4 linked regions of the Xenopus tropicalis genome follow. The protein of the gene in region 1 binds, or shares a complex with, the protein of each later gene. Links are inferred from orthologs where the notes say so. Each region holds a gene or a part of one and is shown in the gene's direction. Other genes may lie near its edges.

Evidence for each region. The genes of interacting proteins can lie anywhere in the genome.
Region 2: arid1a (region 1) and smarcc2 share a complex: the UniProt entries of both Homo sapiens proteins name them as parts of the neuron-specific chromatin remodeling complex. The link is inferred for Xenopus tropicalis from reciprocal best matches to the Homo sapiens genes ARID1A and SMARCC2.
Region 3: arid1a (region 1) and dpf3 share a complex: the UniProt entries of both Homo sapiens proteins name them as parts of the neuron-specific chromatin remodeling complex. The link is inferred for Xenopus tropicalis from reciprocal best matches to the Homo sapiens genes ARID1A and DPF3.
Region 4: arid1a (region 1) and dpf1 share a complex: the UniProt entries of both Homo sapiens proteins name them as parts of the neuron-specific chromatin remodeling complex. The link is inferred for Xenopus tropicalis from reciprocal best matches to the Homo sapiens genes ARID1A and DPF1.

The regions. Positions count from the first base shown.
Region 1 is NC_030678.2:77,722,545-77,727,173, forward strand, and holds the end of arid1a (AT-rich interactive domain-containing protein 1A), read left to right. Parts: intron 1-448; coding exon 449-2,113; 3' UTR 2,114-3,463; downstream 3,464-4,629. UniProt on the Homo sapiens protein: Involved in transcriptional activation and repression of select genes by chromatin remodeling (alteration of DNA-nucleosome topology).
Region 2 is NC_030678.2:137,466,076-137,471,555, forward strand, and holds the start of smarcc2 (SWI/SNF complex subunit SMARCC2), read left to right. Parts: upstream 1-2,086; 5' UTR 2,087-2,682; coding exon 2,683-2,793; intron 2,794-5,480. UniProt on the Homo sapiens protein: Involved in transcriptional activation and repression of select genes by chromatin remodeling (alteration of DNA-nucleosome topology).
Region 3 is NC_030684.2:106,340,037-106,345,439, forward strand, and holds the start of dpf3 (zinc finger protein DPF3), read left to right. Parts: upstream 1-2,009; coding exon 2,010-2,041; intron 2,042-5,403. UniProt on the Homo sapiens protein: Belongs to the neuron-specific chromatin remodeling complex (nBAF complex).
Region 4 is NC_030684.2:77,398,333-77,403,651, forward strand, and holds the start of dpf1 (zinc finger protein neuro-d4), read left to right. Parts: upstream 1-1,925; coding exon 1,926-1,957; intron 1,958-5,319. UniProt on the Homo sapiens protein: May have an important role in developing neurons by participating in regulation of cell survival, possibly as a neurospecific transcription factor. Belongs to the neuron-specific chromatin remodeling complex (nBAF complex).

The DNA.
Region 1 (4,629 bases):
TGGTTACACAAGAACACATTTGGGCTAACAACTGGTGTCCTTTATAAAGGCTTGTCATTTTAATATACTTTCTGTACTTTTAAGCAAACAATTTCACAGAAAATGCAGTAGCTGTAGCCATGCAACCAAGCGTCTGTGAATTCACTTGCTTATGTATGCTGGGAGTTTGCAAGGTTTTTACTATGTATTACTGTTGCTGGGGCCAAAGGAAAGAGGCTTCCAGGGATATCTCTTGTTTTAGACTTGTTGCACTTCACAATCCCCACAGAGACTACTTTGGAACATTCATGCAGATTTGGACCCACTGCCTGAATGCCTCTGTCTCCTTTATTTCTTCCTTTGGCAAGCTATTTCCCATTGGGTTTAAGTAGTTTTTGTTTGTTTTTTTTAATGTTATGAACATTTTATTTTTAAATGTTTAACGCTTATTTTTTCCCCCCATAAATAGCTCCCTGGATTATTAGAGCTGTTAGTGGAATATTTCAGACGGTGCCTGATTGAAATCTTTGGGATCCTCCGAGAGTATGAAGTTGGAGAACATGCTCAAAAGACATTGCTTCAACCCTTCCCATCTGATTCTTCAAGCCTTCTCTCAGGTGATGCTGAAATGGTTGATGGGGATGATCATCAGTCTGTGACAGATGGTGACCCCCAAAGTGAGGATGAAGAGGGTCTAGAGGAGAGAAAGGCCTATAATACTCCCTTTTCTAGTAACGAGGATACTCAACAACAAAGCAGCAAGTTTGACCGGCTCCCAATAAAAGTGGTTTCAAAAGAAGATCCCTTTGTGTTAGACTGCTCTCATCAGTTGGGGCGCTTACAAGAATTTGAAAGTGGCCTCTTGCACTGGCGAATTGGAGGGGGGGACACCACTGAACACATCCAGACACATTTTGAAAGACGTCCTGAACCCCCTCCACGCAGGCGGCCCCCAGTTAAACGCCGATCCCGGGAGCAGCAAATTCCAGCAGCAGAGGACACCACTCCTACTATCGATGATGTGCTGTGTGCCCGGCCAAGCTCATTATCACAGGAGACTGGTGAAACCACTGAAGAAGATTGTGAATTTTCACTGGGTGGGAGCCCTCCACCACGAAACAGGCATGGTATGAAAATATTAGAGGATGAGCCTCGCAGCAAAGATGAAACCCCATTGTGCACACTGGAGGATTGGCAGGATGCTCTGTCCAGACGTTGTGTGTGCATATCCAACATCTTGCGTAGCTTGTCCTTTGTGCCAGGCAATGACTTGGAAATGTCCAAACACCCTGGGCTGTTGCTGCTACTGGGAAAGTTAGTGCTTCTCCATCATAAGCATCCAGAACGCAAGCAAGCACCACTCACTTATGAGAAAGAGGAAGAGAGGGATCAGGGAGTAAGCTGTAACAAAGCAGAGTGGTGGTGGGACTGCCTAGAGATGTTGCGTGAGAATACCTTGGTTACGCTTGCAAACATCTCAGGGCAGCTGGATCTTTCGCCCTACCCTGAGAGCATATGTCTGCCTATTCTGGATGGCCTCTTACACTGGGCGGTGTGTCCTTCAGCTGAGGCACAGGACCCCTTTGTGACACTGGGCCCCAATGCGGTGCTGTCCCCCCAGAGACTGGTGCTTGAAGCCCTTAGCAAGTTAAGTATCCAGGACAGCAACGTGGACCTCATCCTGGCCACACCGCCCTTCAGTCGCTTGGAGAAGTTGTATGGGACCTTGGTAAGGTTCTTAAGTGACAGAAAAAACCATGTGTGCAGGGAAATGGCAGTTGTGCTTTTAGCCAATCTGGCTCAAGGTGACACGTTAGCAGCAAGGGCAATTGCCCTCCAGAAAGGCAGTATTGGAAACCTGCTTGGCTTTCTAGAGGACAGTCTGGCTGCCACCCAGTTTCAGCAGAGTCAGGCTGCCCACCTGCATGGTTCCTCTGCACCATTTGAGCCTACCAGCACAGACATGATGCGGCGGGCATCACGTGCCCTGCTGGCGTTGGCAAAAGTTGAGGAGAACCACCCAGAATTCACCTTGTATGAGGCTCGCTTGCTGGACATCTCTGTCTCTCCACTCATGAACTGCTCCGTGTCACAGGTAATCTGTGATGTTCTCTTCTTGATTGGCCAGTCATGACGGCCGCAGGGAGACACCTTCCCAGAATACTTTGAGTCTCCCACCACCGTAGAACGGAATCCTGTTGACACCATCCCTTCTCTTCTCCCCACCTTTTTATTTATGCAAAAAACTACGTCTCAATCCACTGTCTGCCCCAGAGAGGAGAATTGGCCACCATTGTGGACCTTTCCCCGCCCTCTTTCCTCCTCTCTGTGTGTTTTGGTGTTAACCAAAGCTACTGTATTTCAGTGAATTATTATATATATATCTATTTTTTTTTTTTTTTTTTTTTTACTGGGGGAGGAAGGGGCTCCACTGTACTTCTCCCCCTCCTCTTTACTGCCCCTTCTCCTAAGCCTTTAGCCAAGGGGTTGGCTCATCTTTTTAAGGAGATACAGACTTCTGAACCATCGAATAGGGAGAATGCCCCCCTCCCCCCAAGTCACCATAAAATAATTTGCAGGATTTCTTTCCTCACTTGCGATCTTTAGACTAGAAATTGTGTGCCCTTAACCTTTAAAGAGAAGAAAACTTAAAAAAAAAAATACAAAAAAATACAAAAAAAACCTTAAGACTTTACCTTTTTAACTGTGCTGAGAAACCCTGCAGAATCCGACCGGAGCTGGAAAAACCCCACAACCTCAGAGACTTATGATGTAGGTTTTTAAACAGAGAGCGACATGGAGCGCTTTTAGTTTTCCGGAGGAGAGAGAGACACAGAAAAGTCGCTTTTCCCCCAAAGTTTCATGTGAAGCAACACCCTTACCTCTTAAACTTAGATTGTAATAATCGGAGATCGCCTCTTATAACTGGTTTTAACCTTTAGCTTGTAGGTTGCAAGCTGCGATGTCTGTATATATATGATGATGTACATTAAAGACACACCTCTTGTATCCAACCTCAACCCACTTCCTTCCCAAACACACAAGCTCTTCCCCATTCATCTGTAGAAAATGGGGGATACGGTTAAGCCTATTAAAAACTCCCTTTCTCCAGGTATATGGAGGGAGGGACCTGTGTGGACGGTTTGCCTACAGAGCAGGAGTTCCCTGAACACTTCACTTCCTCACCCTTTGTATATCCAGCAATCCTATCAACTTTTAGAAGGTTTTTTTCCCATTACCAATCAAGGTGTGAGTTTTTTTTTGTTATTGTTTTTTGTTTTGTTTCAGTTCCCCAGACAATTTGAGAAGTTTTTTCCAGCAATTTCTGCATATTTGTAGCTCCAAAAAAATGTAAATTTCAGCCTATTCCTTTTTTGTTTTATTTTTATTTTTGCTTAATGAATATATCATTTATTCAGTATGAAATCTTTATACTCTATGTTCCCGTGTTAAGAATAAATGTACATTAAATCTTGTTAACAGAGTTGTGAGGAGCATTATTTAAATGGAGGCTATCATTGCAGCACCATAACATCTCCATGCATTTACTTAAAATTTTGTGCAATCTACAGCAAAATACACTCTCAAAATAGCTGTGGCACCACCTGTTTGCATGAGCATGTTTTTTGGGGGGGTCATTTTATCAACACTGGGCAATAACCTATCAACCAGTCAGTGATTAGCATTCTTCAGCCAGCTTCAGGTAGCACAATGAAAGCAAACATTTGATTGGTTGTTATGGGTTACAGCCCAGGTTCAGATTTGTCCGTTGTTCATAAATGAACAATGGAATCCTTAGAATCCTTAGTTTATTTTACCTTGTATTTTCCCCCATGATTTTGCTATGCCTATTTGATAATTCAGCTTCAAGGAGGAAACTGTTTGCTTGTTTTAGGCCCTATAAAGAACAGCTTAGGTTAGGTGCTATTGTAGGGCAAAATCATGGCTGAAAGATACATACACAGAGCTACTTAGTAGCAGTTACTTGTCAGGCTGCTAAATGCCAGAAAATACCCTATCATACACATTTTCGTGGCATTGTCTATTCTTGAAGCTGCTGCAAGTAGCTCTGTGTGTCTTCACCCTTATCTGAAAAGATGACCGCATATGATTTTTGTGCAGATAAACTAAATCAGTGGTCATGAAAGATCTCAACAGAAAACTTTCAATATGGTATAAAGGGTTTGATCGGTACATCTAAATGCACTGTTGCACTAAAGGCTGTGTCACAGCCAGACTTGGATTGTGATTTAGATGGTCTAATACCATTTACATATAAGTTCCTTTTGTAGTAAAGTCTAGGTTCCACGTTGCACAGATAAGCTATTTAGAATGCAATGGTTTTGGTACATTATAATAAATAATAAGTCATTGAAAAGCTCTCTGCAGACTACAGGTAGGGAACCCTTAAGTAAAATCCAAAAATGCTGCTGACACAAATATGACTGGATCCTGCGCATACACATTTTTTGTAAAACTGGCAAATGTTTGCCTATATTTGACTTGATCATTCCTTCATATTCATTAAAGGATAAGTCATGAAGCCCCTAAAATTACTCTATAAAGCACCCAGATTAACGTGAATTTCTCCCTGCACCCGTTCTCATGCATATGTATCACAAGAAGCAAAACTTCAGATTTCCCTGCTAC
Region 2 (5,480 bases), about 60 Mb from region 1:
TGTACTACTGTAACTATCACACTATCTGTACTACTGTAAACTATCACACTATCTGTACTACTGTAACTATCCACACTATCTGTACTACTGTAACTATCACACTATCTTACTATCTGTACTACTGTAACTATCACACTATCTGTACTACTGTAACTATCACACTATCTGTACTACTGTAAACTATCAACTATCTGTACTCTGTAACTACTGTAACTATCACACTATCTGTAACTACTGTAACTATCACACTATCTGTACTACTTTACTGTAACTATCACACTATCTGTACTACTGTAACTATCACACTATCTGTACTACTGTAACTATCACACTATCTGTACTACTGTAACTATCACACTATCTGTACTACTGTAACTATCACACTATCTGTACTACTGTAACTATCACACTATCTGTACTACTGTAAACTATCACACTATCTGTACTACTGTAACTATCACACTATCTGTACTACTGTAACTATCACACTATCTGTACTACTGTAACTATCACACTATCTGTACTACTGTAACTACACACTATCTGTACTACTGTAACTATACTACTGTACTACACTACTATCTGTACTACTGTAACTATCACACTACTCTACTACTAACTATCACACTACACTACTGTAACTATCACACTATCTGTACTACTGTAACTATCACACTATCTGTACTACTGTAACTATCACACTATCTGTACTACTGTACTGTACTACTGTAACTATCACACTATCTGTACTACTGTAACTATCACACTATCTGTACTACTGTAACTATCACACTATACTACTGTACTACTGTAACACACTATCTGTACTACTGTAACTATCACACTATCTGTACTACTGTACTATATCTGTACTACTGTACTGTACTACTGTAACTATCACACTATCTGTACTACTGTAACTATCACACTATCTGTACTACTGTAACTATCACACTATCTGTACTACTGTAACTATCACACTACTACTGTACTACTGTACTACTGTAACTATCACACTATCTGTACTACTGTAACTATCACACTATCTGTACTACTGTACTACTGTAACTATCACACTATACTGTACTACTGTAACTATACTACTACTGTACTACTGTAACTATCACACTATCTGTACTACTGTACTACTGTACTACTGTAACTATCACACTATCTGTACTACTGTAACTATCACACTATCTGTACTACTGTACTACTAACTACTGTACTGTACTACTGTAACTATCACACTATCTGTACTACTGTACTACTGTAACTATCACACTATCTGTACTACTGTACTGTACTACTGTAACTATCACACTATCTGTACTACTGTACTGTACTACTGTAACTATCACACTATCTGTACTACTGTAACTATCACACTATCTGTACTACTGTAACTATCACACTATCTGTACTACTGTAACTATCACACTATCTGTACTACTGTAACTATCACACTATCTGTACTACTGTAACTATCACAGCCCCCTTCCTGCCCAGTACCCAACACAGGTGCAACCTGGCCAATAAAATTTATACTTGATGCCAATTATTAATAGGGCAGAAAAATACAAATATAAAAAGGCCAATTGCACCCAGCCCTAGTGTAACCTTAGCAGAACCCATACAATTTTTTTTTCAATAAATGAAAATGTTTTACAATAAATGAATGAGTTCAGGTCTGCAGCACCCATGGATCTTTGGTGGTGTGTGCCTTGCCCAAGTTTTGTCCAGTATCCCTCTGCCGATCCGCCATTGTTTTTAATGGGCAACTTGTTAGTCTCCCCATTCTGTCACACTTTGGAGGGACGCTGAGAATTGTCAAGTCGCCCAAACACAGTACGTACTAAAGTACCTCTGTAGCATTTACAGTAAGAAAGTGTACACCAGGAGGAGAGCTACAGTAAAGTCAGTAAGCCTGGGGAATATTCTGTTTGTGAGGAAAAAAAATAGAATTTACAAGCTAAACGAATCCGTCACGGACAGGATTCGAACCTGTGCGGGGAAACCCCATTGGATTTCGAGTCCAACGCCTTAACCACTCGGCCACCGTGACTGTCGGCCAACCAACTCGCTCAGCCTACTGACACAGAGCGTGAGCCGGCGTGCGTTTTTCCCCAACATGGCGGCCGTACGCTCCCTGGCAAAGCTATGCTTGGAGGGGCTGCAATGCACGGAGGGGCTGGGAAAGGACACCGAATGGAAGGGGGCAATTTGAGTTGTGGAAGACTGGGCGCTGCTGTGTGGGCGCTGCTGTGTGGGCGCTGCTGCAGCGAGTGTTTCCCAGCGGCACTAGGGCAGGAACATTCAGCCTGTGAGTCCGGCCGTAGAAAGAACTTACTGACTCTTATATTCGAGTCACAGTGTTCGCACCTGCTGGAAGTGCCCGGCGCTGGCACCGCGGTATAAGTCTTATGCGTACCGCCGTGATCGCCACTTCTTCTTTCCAATCAATAATATCACGTCAGGCTTTTTGGCGCTATATTGCCCATTTTAGCGGCACAGTGGCTTTTAGCCGCAGTATCCTGCCCAAGGCCGCCGTGGTATGCTGGGACATGTAGTTCGCTAACAACTGGAGGGCCACTGGTTGCCGATGTCCCGCTGCACTTATCGTTCCGGCCGCTAGGTGCCGCTCAGCTCTCGGGTTGGAGGTGCCGGGCAAGCTGGCAGAAGATGGCGGTGCGGAAGAAGGACGGCGGCCCGAATGTGAAATTTTACGAGGCATCCGACACTGTCGCACAGTTCGACAACGTGCGGCTATGGCTGGGCAAGAATTATAAGAAGGTACTGCAATGAGGGACTTCGAGTCCTACGGCAAACGAAGTCCCCTAGTGTGTTTCCCTGAGCTGCACACCTAGAACAAAGAGACAGGCCCGAGTACGGGGGTGTTAGGGCTGGTGGGCACTTAGCAGCAGGAGGCCCCGCAATGGCCCCTACTCTGCCTGTCACCTAGGTTACTGACAATGATGCTTCCTCTAGAGAAGGGAGCCTGTTATATTAAATGGTTATATGGGGCCTTCACCCGCCCAGTAAGCTGAATAATAGAACAAAATGAGCCCTGAATGTGTCCCTGTGCGCTACAGAATCCGGACATGTCATGCCGTGCCATCTTTTATTTCTATAGCAACAGATGGAAGATGTACAGTAATGCCCTATTGTAGGAAGAATAAATAACTCTGCATCCCACCAATTGTCAGCTCAGTGGGCAAGGCATAGTACTAGCCTTTCATGTCAGTACCTTGCTCCTCAGTGGCAACTCCCGGCCCCACCATTATCCTCTCCTGTCATGTCAGATCTTGTTACCCTTGCCATTCACAGTCATTGTGCCAAACAGTAAAGGGGTGAACATTTCCCCAGTATTATCCCTTTAGTAAAGCCCTGGGTTGGGTTCTGTTATATTCTTTTGCTTTTGGTCCATGGGGAAGCACAGGGCTACATCCCTGCATTGCTGGTTCCTAACTGCCAGCATCTGTTTCACATACACGGATCCTCTGCACATGCTCAGTGGCACAACTCTTCACCCTTTTGGGAGGTTCTAAGTTAGGGACACCCCACACACGCAGGGTTTTGGGCTAGAACATATGTATGGTGCTACAGGTCGGTGGAGAGAGTGGTTCAATCATTCATGTTACCTGACTAATACCAAATGCTCTATTTGTGTTTCCTACTCATCTAGGGAAAAATAAATATTATATTGATACTTTTTAGCTGATTGCATTGTTTGCTTTCATTTAATGTGTTGACAACACATAAATAGAAGCAAATAGCACAACAAGCGTAATAACTTAAAGAACTGACATAACTGTGCCTGATACTTTAGCAGCTGGAGTGTTGTTGCAGAAAGTGCCCCTTCCATAGACAGCACGGAATGAGAGGAATGCATATATACACATATATATATATAGAACTGTTTACAAGCTGCATGTCCTGTAGCGTGAGCATGTTAGTAGCACGTGCTAGTGTGGTTATCCTCAGACTTACCTTTGCCCTAGTGCTGATGTGTGAGTCACCTGAGTGCATTCCCTTTCATATACTTCTTAATACCTGCTCTACAGTTGTACTGCTATTTTGTTTAGAATAACTCTGTAGCCAAATCTGCGCCAGTAGCTAACATGGCAGGGTAATTTGTTTTGTTAATTGTTGGATGAAGAACAAAATATAGACCTGTCTAAAAATATACATATCTATGTAAAAGAAGAGGTTACATGGAATATCCCTTTGTTTATAAGGGTCTTTAACGTCCCATAACACTAGAAAATGTATGTATGTATATCTTTATTTATAAAACGCTACTTATATATGCAGCGCTGTACAGTAGAATACATTAATATAAACAGGGGGTATTAAAATAGATAAATACAAAGTATTACAATAAGCACAATTAAATAAAAGATACAATTGTAATAAGATAAGAGTCAAAGACACAAGAGGATGGAGGATATCTGTGGATACTAGCAAATGCCGGAGGGGCTGCTGTAAGATGCCATAGGGAGTTGCTATCTATTGGGCTGGCAGGGAGGCTGTTTGGGCCTCTGTGTACTTGAAATACCAGGGCCTATTTTGAATTCTAGGTCAGGCCTGTAGCCATGCACCTGTTTCTGGCATTTTAGGCTAATGCCAGACGAGGCGTAGAGAGGATATTTTCAGCAAACGGAAAATCGCTTGCCGAAAATATCGCCCTACGCTTCCTACATGTGCCTGCACCCGAATGAATGGAATACGCTTGGGTGCAGGCACATGTAGCCGAAATACGCATAAAAACGGGAGACTTTCAAACTCTCGCGTTTTTATGTGTATTTTTGCTACATGTGCCTGCACCCAAGCGTATTCCATTCATTCGTGTGCAGGCACAAGTAGGAGGCGTAGGGCGGAATTTTCGGCAAGCGTTTTTCCGCTTGCCGAAAATATCCGCCCTACACCTCGTCTGACATCAGCCTTAAGGTGACAATACATTGGGAGATGTAAGGTGCCGATTTATCTTCTTCAGGCTGAGTCTGCAGCTTATCTATCCATGTATTGGGCCCTCCAACGGGCCTGCCTTACTGAGATCTATCCAAAAAAAGTCCAGTCTGGGCATGGATGATGCAGTCCTCGCCCCAAAATCCTGCTTTTACTGTAATTGTGATCCAATAGTTTTGCCCTTGGGCCAAAGATCAGGTCAGCTCGGTATTGCCTACCTCAGGGTGGGCATATCAGGAAAAGTTTGTGGAACTTTATTCCAAGAAGATTAATATGAATCTGGTTCTTTTTTTTGCTTTAAATCAGCCTGTACTTATTTGGAAAGGCTTTCCTCTACACATTGGAATATTATGATAGGATTTACAGTTTGCAAATGATACATTAGTTGGTCTTATACAAGGCAAAGATGCAAAATCCTATCGTCAATTTGTGACATATTAGGTATCAAAGAGACCATAATCTAGTCATAAACAGAGTCAACAGTAAAAATTAACCATGGACATCAAATGGAA
Region 3 (5,403 bases), on another chromosome or scaffold:
GTCTGCCTGTGGCCATAGAGCAAAACCACAAGCATTGTTTCCATTTCAGTGCCACAATAAAACACTCCTATTTGGCCCCAATCCTTATGGAAAATGTGCTTTCTAGATTTGCCTCAGTTCTTCTCTAAGTTCCATACAGTAGCATTTCCTCTCCCCTCCACAAGCAATCAGCTTGCTACTCACCCTTAAAGGGACAGCAATAATAAATGCAAAGGTATACAGGAATACAATGGTAGTTTTGCTTGCATGCATCTTCCAGTACACAGCTTATGTTCAAACTGAACATAAAGCCCCTACACTAAAATATGAATGAAGCTGACACGCAGTTTTGGCATCATTTTGCCATGTATTGTTGTATGCTATGAAGTTAAGTAAGACTGTGTACAGCCACACAGTGTACTGTACAATTGCCTTTTTCTTATTGCTTGTCTATGCTTCCACAGCAACCATCAGGGGTTAGAACTGTAGGGGGGCCAGTCATGGCTGGGATTATTTTATACTGTTAAGGAAGACACAGGGGTCCCAAATCTTTGCAGGGATGAGACCCAACCGAGAAAATACATTTCCGATGGTTGTCCTTCATGCAGAGTTACCCAATGGAAACATATACAAGTATTACTGCACCTTAAGTGTAGTAGAGCAAGCTGTTGAAGGAGTCTTGTAACAAGGCCATAGTAACAAGCAGTATTCAAGTGTAACTGTAAGTCAAGGTTTCTAACCTGCAGCCATCCCGATATTGTTAAACTACAACTCTCAATGGATGGTGGTAGTTGTAGTTCAATAACAACGTGGCAGTTGTTCAGCTGCAGCACTGCCCCTAACGTAAGGAGTGAAAGCCACAGGAGACTTCAGGATTGCGTCGGTCGCTACATTGTCTGTGCACGTCGCTAACCGAGCGCTGCGCCGGCTGAGGAAGATTAGATGTGACCAGTTGCATTCCCGTCTGGATACCAGGGATTGCTATGGAGCAGAAGCAGTAATCCCACACAAGGGCTATTAAGTGATTAGCTTCTCTTGCGCTGACTACAAAACTGCAAACTGGATTTACAACCCGAACGCCTTGCGGTTCCCCTCTTGGCATATTGCAAAGGGCAAGTGGTGGAGAAACGACGTTACAGCTTTAAAAGTGCTGTAGGAGAGCCACATTGCTAAGCAACGGGGTGGCTGGGGTTACATGCACTGAGGTCACCTTATTTTGCAGTAACAGCAATAAGTGACCTCCCTGAGCATCATGAAGCCGGTGCACTGACTGCAGGAGATTAGCTGACACTGAGAAATACCAGGGGGCAGAGGTGGGAGGAGGGTGCTTAGCTCATATATCAGCAGTGCCAAAGAGCCCCTATGAGGAAATTAGAGAAGATAAAGCAGATAGGTGGAGGCTGGCTCTGGGCATCCTATTAAATGTCAGGGCACATGCAGGGACTGAGCTTTGATGAAGTGGCAGGAGTCCAGGCTGCACACAGCAAGCCATCAGCTGCCATTTGGCCAGAGCTAGCAGGCAGTGCAACTCAGTGCCAATTTAATTGCTCCCCACCTCCTGAAAAGTGTCCAGACATGGCCTAGACTGCCTTAACTCCTTCCCTTCTGGAACAACTTGCGCAGAAGAAGGCAGTGCATTTACAGCTTGTTACTGAACTACCATTGCCAGGATGTTTGGGTCTTGTTAGGCTTACTGGGAGTCGTAGTTCATTAGCAGCTGTTGAGCCGCCACAGGTTCCAGATCCGTGCCCAGACTTTGCATTGCACCGCTCACTTCTCCAGCAGCAGCAACTAAGGGGTTGTCTCCACCTCCCCTCACTGCTCTCTGTCCGGCCACCCAAGGGAGTGACCTCTGGTTCTTTGACAGCTCCCTAATACCTCGCAGAACACCCCTTCCATGCCACGCCTTCAGCTTCGCGATTGGCTGGCGCGCCGGTAACCCTCATTCCTATTGGCTCGTCCCTCTCCCCCCACCCGCAACGAACCTTCAGAACTCCGAGACAGACAATATTCAGTTACATTGTAGCAAGATGGCGACTGTCATTCACAACCCACTGAAACCGTGAGTAGAAATGGGCAGAATCCGCGTGTTTCCATATGAAAAAAAGGCGCCTTTCTCGGCTGGTGCGGAGCTTGTGTGGAGACAAGTGCGACTCCCGAATGCACCGGGCGCAGCTCCAGGCACTGACTCGCTACCCGGGCACTGGCAGCCTTTATGCCTACTCTCTTTATTCTTTCCCTGCACTTGCTACTGTGGTACGGGCGCCTGACGGGTGTTGCGCTCTGCCTTGTGCGCTGTGGGTACGGCTGGGAATGTGCCAGCTTGAGGCAACTGGGCACTTACTGCGCACCGGGTACCTAACCGAGCGGGGCGTCCCGGGTAGAAGCCAGACCTTTGTGAGAAGCAGCGCAGCGGGTGGCATGTGGGGTGCCAAGCCTGGTACCGTAAGGGTGCTTTTGGGGTGTCACAGGCATGGCCGGGTAATAGAGATTAGAGTTTGGAGAGCCAGCGTGGCAGACAAAGGGCGATTTTGAGGTGATAGCCGTTGCACAGTAATTATGGTATCGGGGAGTCAGGAATGGAAGAGTCTGCGGATTTCGGGGTTCCAGGTACAACAGAGTAAGGATGTGCCTATGATACCTGTTGTATTAGAGCAAGCGTGGTTACTGGGTGCCAGCTATGCCAGAGTAAAGATACTTTGGTTCCCTTGCTTTATCCTAGTGAGGGTGCTATCTGGGTGCCACTTATAGCACAGGAGGCGTGTTTGGCGTGAGTGCCAGTGATGACACGGTTATTTAGCTTTTAGGGTGCAGGTGTAGCAGAGAAATGGTGCTTTTTAGGATGCCTTATAGTAGCATGATGATACCTGTAGGTACAGCAGAGTACTGATGCTTTAAGGGTGGCGTGTATAACAGAGAAATGGTGTTTTAGGGTGTCTTGTGTACAAGAGTAATGATGCTTTTTGGTGGCTGGTACAGCAGGGCAATGATGCTTTTCGCCTGCTTTAGTTGTAGAATAGCAGAGTAATGATGCCTATAGGGTGCAAATATAGTAAAGTAATGATGCGTTTAGGGTGCAGGAATAGCCCAGTAACGATGCAGGTATAGCAGTAACGATGGATTTAGGGTGCAGGTAAAGCAGAAATGTTGGATTTAGGGTGCAGGTATAGCAGAGTAATATGCATTTAGGGTGCAGGTATAGCAGTAACGATGGATTTAAGGTGCAGGTAAAGCAGAAATGTTGGATTTAGGGTGCAGGTATAGCAGAGTAACTATGCATTTAGGGTGCAGGTATAGCAGTAATCATGCATTTAGGGTGCAGTTATAGCAGTAATCATGCATTTAGGGTTCATGTATAGCAGAGTAACGATGCATTTAAAATGCAGTTATAGTAAAGTAATGATGTAGTTAGGGTGCAGGTATAGCAGAGTAACCATGCATTTAGGGTTCAGGTATAGCAGTAATCATGCATTTAGGGTTCAGGTATAGCAGAGTAAGGATGCATTTAAGGTGCAGTTATAGTAAAGTAATGATGTAGTTAGGGTGCAGGTATAGCAGAGTAACGATGGATTTAGGGAGCACATATAGCAGAGTAACGATGCATTTAGGTAGCAGGTATAGTAAAGTAATGATGTAATTAGGGTGCAGGTATAGCAAAGTAATGATGAAATTAGGGTGCAGGTATAGCAGAGTAACGATGGGTTTAGGTAGCAGGTATAGCAAAGTAACGATGGATTTATGTAGCAGGTATAGTAAAGTAACGATGCATTTAGGTAGCAGGTATAGTAAAGTAATGATGTAATTATGGTGCATGTATAGCAGAATAACGATGCATTTAGGGTGCAGGTATAGCAAAGTAACGATGCATTTAGGTAGCAGGTATAGTAAAGTAATGATGTAATTATGGTGCATGTATAGCAGAATAACGATGCATTTAGGGTGCAGGTATAGCAAAGTAACGATGGATTTAGGGTGCAGGTATAGCAAAGTAAAGATGGATTTAGGGTGCAGGTATAGCAAAGTAACGATGGATTTAGGGTGCAGGTATAGCAAAGTAACGATGCATTTAGGGTGCAGGTATAGCAAAGTAACGATGGATTTAGGGTGCAGGTATAGCAAAGTAAAGATGGATTTAGGGTGCAGGTATAGCAAAGTAACGATGGATTTAGGGTGCAGGTATAGCAAAGTAACGATGCATTTAGGGTGCAGGTATAGCAAAGTAACGATGCATTTAGGTAGCAGGTATAGTAAAGTAATGATGTAATTATGGTGCATGTATAGCAGAATAACGATGCATTTAGGGTGCAGGTATAGCAAAGTAACGATGGATTTAGGGTGCAGGTATAGCAAAGTAAAGATGGATTTAGGGTGCAGGTATAGCAAAGTAACGATGGATTTAGGGTGCAGGTATAGCAAAGTAACGATGCATTTAGGGTGCAGGTATAGCAAAGTAACGATGGATTTAGGGTGCAGGTATAGCAAAGTAAAGATGGATTTAGGGTGCAGGTATAGCAAAGTAATGATGGATTTAGGGTGCAGGTATAGAAGTAATGATGCGTTTAGAGTTCAGGTATAGCAAAGTAATGATACGTTAGTAAAGTGCCAGTGTCAGTGCTGTAAGAGGGTTATAGGTGGCAGGGGTTGCTTAATGAAGGGCATAGAGGGCATTTGTCTGGGCTCCCGCATCACAGGTGCTTCTTAAGGAGAAAAGGTAGATTCAACGACTAATAACATATTATCATGTTATCAAATGGCTGTATTGTCAGTAATGACGAGTCTAGTCTAACACACATCTTTCCAACTGTTGCTGAATTGTAATTTCCCGCAGACGGCCGGACAGTGGGGGATGGTGCTGATTAGCAGTGGGCAGAGCTTTGTTCTGTGGTTCAGCTGATGGCAATGAGGGGCGCTACGTATGGGAGTGTGCCCACCGGGAAGGTGATGCCATTGGGTAAATATGGGGGGGCAGTGGGGCACATCTGAGAATCGTGCCAAGGATGCAATATATATTGGCTACTGGAGGCGCTAGTTTATGGGATACCTGCCGGACGCTATTAGCGATCTGATTTAACTGAAGGTATATTTGTGTGTTACATACCAACAAATCACGTCATAGGGGTTATTTTGGATGGGGGTGTGAGGGAGTGCTAGAGAGTCGGACCCAAGCAGATGCTCTCAGGGAACAGAATATGTTATTGTTTCTGCAAGGGCAAGGGTACCTGTTGGCCATATTAATATATTATATGGAAAGTTAGGCAGGAAGGGATTGGCGAGTTATTGGACCGGACTGTGAAAGAGAGAACAAGTGGGAATAACTAGGGGTGCTTTTATATTGAGGTCAGGGGTAGCCAGTGAGATGGAGCGTTTGTTATTAGGCCTCTATTGCCTGAGGTAATCATAGCTGGGTTACCTCAGGCAAGGGGT
Region 4 (5,319 bases), on another chromosome or scaffold:
ACTAATATGAAGACTGAATACCTACAGAGCGAGAGGTTCGGGGCATAAGCACCTGGACCTGTAGTCTAATTTGGTGAGCGTTTGACTTGTTATAAGAAACCATTAAATGTAAGCTTAAGTTTATAGTTCACCACTACATAAGTATATAAGTGAATAGGAACGACTGGGAGCCTCCAGACAAACAGAGTGAATGGTATTAAAATCCATATTGTCCACTGTGGTGGACCCCCAGTCTTAAGGTGGCCATTCACTGTAAGATCAACTCATTTGGCGAGGTCGCCAAGTGAGCAGATCTTCTCCCGATATGCCCATCTACGGGTGGGCGATATAGGGTTAATTCAATCAAATCAGAACGGCTGGCATAGGCGCCATCGGATGGGGGACCGCATCATCGAGCCTATACGGTCCCCCATTTGACGGAAAAATCAAACCTGCCCAATCGAGATCTGCCCAATTCCAGTTTTCTGTTGGGGAGGCCTGTCGGTGGTGCCCATAGACGGGCAGATAAGCTGCCTAATCGGTCACCTTTACATAGAGCGATTTGCATAAACTGAAAGTGACCATGTACTATGGCCAAGGCCCTGTTCTTTTCTGGCTCTCTAATCTCTTTGGCAAAGGAAAAAAAACATCTGGGTCATAACGCAACATTCCTCACCAGCTCTGACATAAATTGCCTGTACAGGAAATATAAAAGGATCGACTGCACACTAAAGATCACTGAAAATTTTAAGGGCAGCAAAGTGGCGCAATGGTTAGCTCTTTTGACTTTGGGGTCCTAGATTCAGTACCTAGAACTCAAATTGACCACAGAGGGCATAATTGTTATAGGTACTTAGAGCTTTATGCTACACTTGGGAAGGGACTGGTGTGAATGATATATAATCTTTGCCAGGCGCATAAGAATGTGTTAGCACTATACAAAGAATAACAATAATTATAATGTGGCAGTGTGAAGGGGGGCTTATTATATGAGGAATATAAAAGAAGCAGCTGAATACAGGTGCTTGACATAGTACTAAAGTACTCACTTTATGTGGAGTTTACAAGAAAGTGGAGCGCACACCATATCTGTTTGGCAAGGCCACGGAAATGGGGACCTGCTGCATGATCTGTGCCAGCAATGGGGACTATGGGAGCCCTGCTGATGAAGGACACACTTTTCCCTTACCCTTCCATGGTGACTGGTTCTCCTTTCTTTCCTGCAGGTCCCTGAATTGCAGTGGGCACACTATCTTCCTCAAGGCTCCAATCTTCCCTGCAGCGTACTTGTATCTTATTACTGGACCTGCAATCAAACAAATTTAGGATATAACTGATATTAACAACTTCAGTGTTTTCCTTTATCAGTTTTAAGTCCATTCATCCCCTCCCAATTCTCTCTCCACCGCCTGATCTCTATTATTCTGCTCTCCCCTCACCTTCTCCCCCCCTTCCCCCCAACCCACTTGCTGCATTTTTTTCTGCTGGCTTGTTAACAAAAGGCCCTTATGGGGCCTCACCAGCAATGACTAGGCTCGTCCTATTTTTATCTCAGTTTTCCTCACAACCTGACTGCCTCTCCCACCTAACTCATAAACTTGCCTGTCTCTCCCTTTTTGACAATCCCTTCCCGCGCCCCCCATCCAACACACAAAGTCTCCCCTTCCCATTGCCCCCAGCTCCCCCTCCTCCCTTTACAGTACCTTAACCTTCTCCACCAATCATTTTCTTCTTCAGCCTCCCAGACTTGTCCCTCGCAATGAACTCTGGGCAACGTAGTGCCATTTTCAATTCATATTCATACTGGCGCGGCTCTCAAAACTACAACTCCCAGTCTTACCCTCAACACGGCCTTTGATTGGCCATTGCGTGCAGAATGAATGAAATTGTACAGTATTGTGATATTAGAGGGGCTGCAGTGTTCCTGCCTAATACCCAGCTGCACCATGAACACAGCCCTCCACAACCCCTTAAAATCGTGAGTATACTGGACTTAAAGATAGTTACAGCTGTGTATACTGCATTTACACTGTCTGAGACTGTATATCTTTCAGATGTATACATGTGTGTTTAGCATTATTACAACATGGACATATCTACATGAATACTATGCATGAAAGAGTGTGTCTGCCTGCCAATTTGTGTATTATAGTGTGTGTGTGTATGTAATACATTTATTTGAGATTATATATATATCTATATATATATAGATATATGTGTGTGTGTGTGTTTGTTCTGTACATTTGCATGTAGATTGTTATATATATTAACTCTTGTGGGTGCTATATATATATTAAATGTCAAAAAGTGGAATCAACCATCTATTCTGCACGTATACTATGCATTATAGAATTTCACAGTGAGGTCACATCCAGCTGCTTTTAGAGGAGGGTCTTACATCTGGATTAGACTGTATCCTTAGGGTATGTCTGAGGTCTAGACTGCGACTGCGATCGTTTGCCTATTATCTATCCATGTATTTAGCTACCTATTCATCCATCTGTCTTTGCCTATCGTTCCTTTGGGAAAGGGAATTTATTTGTGATTACCCATAGTTCACTTTTCTACAGCATTTTCATATAAAATGTACAGCAGTGTTTTGCTGATTTTAATAGTATTTGGTTGCACCTGAGTAATATGAATTTTGAAAGCTAAATTTAGGGTATTGTCTTAAAAATAAAATCCCTGTAACTTATGTTAACACTATTAATGCATTTTATGCATAATATTTATTCAAAAATATGTAATATGCTTAAATATGTGTTTTAAGCCATACATAGCACCATGCAAGCAGAGCAAGTGAGCTGAGTGCCTGGGAACCTTCTGTCCTTAATTCCTAGTGCACATCTGGGCAGACTGTATGCACGTGATAAAGTAGCCATTAACCCAGTCAGTGCCTGAAGTAATCAGACTGTAATAATAAGCAAATAATGGATACTGCATCACTCTGCATACTGTTTGACACTAAATAATTATTTGTAGTTTTGCAGCCATGAGCATATTTAAAGCTGCAGAAGATTATAGAAGAACTGCATTTTGTCAGATATGAGTAAAATATGGGTTACTGCTGTCACCTAAAATCCTATATTTCTCCCAGTGGTTAAGCTGGGGACATTTCACTTTAACTCATTCAGCTCTGACTGAATACAACTGTGAGAGGCAGTTCTCGTTCTTTCTGGTACTGTGTGCAGTTATCAGTTTAACCTAATTTGATTTGACACATGCACTGCAAAATATAGTATGACTGCTCTCTGTAAAATGCATTATATGCATGCTTTTTATCAAAAATATTTGCAGATTGTGACTGTAGCTTTGTAAGCAAATTGGCAAGGCTTCTCTCTCAAGCAATGCACTGGACATGAAGACTTGATAAGGAGAAAGCCTTTATTGAGTGAAAATCTAATGTTACAGATTATCTTATTGGTAAATTAAATTTTTGGTAAATTAAAATACAGTTACTGTTACTAATCTTGCTTTCACAAGGACTTACATATATGGCGCTGTTGTATTAGGCTGTATGCCACACTCACATATATTATAAGATCCGTGTATACCTGCTTTAATTTGACAATTCTAATTTCTTTAGTATATTTGTATATTAAGGAGACATTGTTTTAATCATTTTTTAAAGAATAATAAGTTTTATCACTTATATTAGTAAGTAAAACAAAGGAAATTTAATTTATTAGAGGCACTGTGTCCAAAAGTTACTGCTTGGTAAATTTAAGCTAGAGTTTAAATCATTTTTAGGATAATTTGGCCACCAGAGGACATGGTTTCAGTGGACTCTGTGGTTCATATGTAACTGGTTGCATTGGTGAGAAACATTAAGGCAGCTTTTACTGCCTTATACAAATAAACATAATGATGCGCAGATAAATAAGGCCATGGTAAATACCTTATATGAATTTATAGAAATATAAATTGAATATAGGCCCTTTTACACTACACTAGAACTTAGTAAAGCACAAATTATGCAGTGTAAGTCCCTGTGTGTATATATATATATATATATATATATATATATATATATATATATATATATATACAGAGATCTGCATGTGCACCCAAGCAACCCTGATATGTTTTTTCTTTATGTGTCCTAACATCATTTCTGTCATATTGTTGATATTTAGGTACTATATATACTTTAATATATATTTAATATGTACTATATATATACTTTAATAATGAATGCTCCTTATATATATTTGTTGTGTGCTCAGCCTGGTGTAGTAAAGGGGCAGTATTATGGCAGAAAATAATTGAACGTGCATTATATTTTGACTGTTATATTGGTACACACTTGCCTATCCACTCAAGCTATCATTCCTGATCTTATAAAGTTGCCATTGAAACCAGCATTGCCAGTTTCCAAGCTGTCTGGGTCCTGTCTGTGTCTCAGCTCCAATTATATGTGTGCAGACATCTCATGACAGTTCTGCCTGACTGGGTGAACCCAGCCTGTTACATATTCATATCTGTGGGGAATTCATATATATTGTATCTGTGTGCATAATAAGCATATATGCTCCCATGTATCCATAAATGTACATTTTCTGTATACATGCACATGTATTGCTAAGAAAATACCTCTTCATAATAGATTGTTATACAGTACTATAAAATAATTATGTCATGCTTTGTGAATATTAATGATGACCACTGCAGAACTGAAGACTTACCTACTGTAAGATATAACTAGAAAAATATCCTATCTGAACAAGGCAATGATACATTTTGGAAAAAAATTAGAAGTATATTTAGAAGTGACATTTGCATGCAACAAGACTCCAGCCACTATAAACTACATTGTCCAAAATGCAGCAAGCCAGTGGCTAACAGTCACATGCAATGTCCCATTGCTTTCTGGGAAAAATGCACAGTCCAGAGCAGGCTCTAATTTAATATTTAGTAATGGACCAGGACACCGATAGTACAAATCCAATATGGAAGCAGAATTTTTAATCTAATATGGAATGAAATTCAAGATTGGACTATAAAATAAAAATATACATTATTTAGCACCAACTTAGCATTTAAAGTGAATTATATACTAACCTGTGTTTTTAATTTTTTGATATAGAATGGAATAGTAGGGAGCATTTTTCTTTTCAGTGCATCAGAGATGTCTGTATCTGTGCTATTAACTCTTATTTTCTCTTTCCTCGTTGTCTAATAATCTCCTCCTATTTTATGATGACTGACAGTGCAAGCAGCACTGTAAGAACCTCATCATATAAAGTAGAAGGGGTTATAGTCTTGATTGGCTGACCTTTAGGACTACAGCATTTTGTCCCCTCCCAATTTCTTTCCCAAGTTGGTTGTTGGTCATTTATA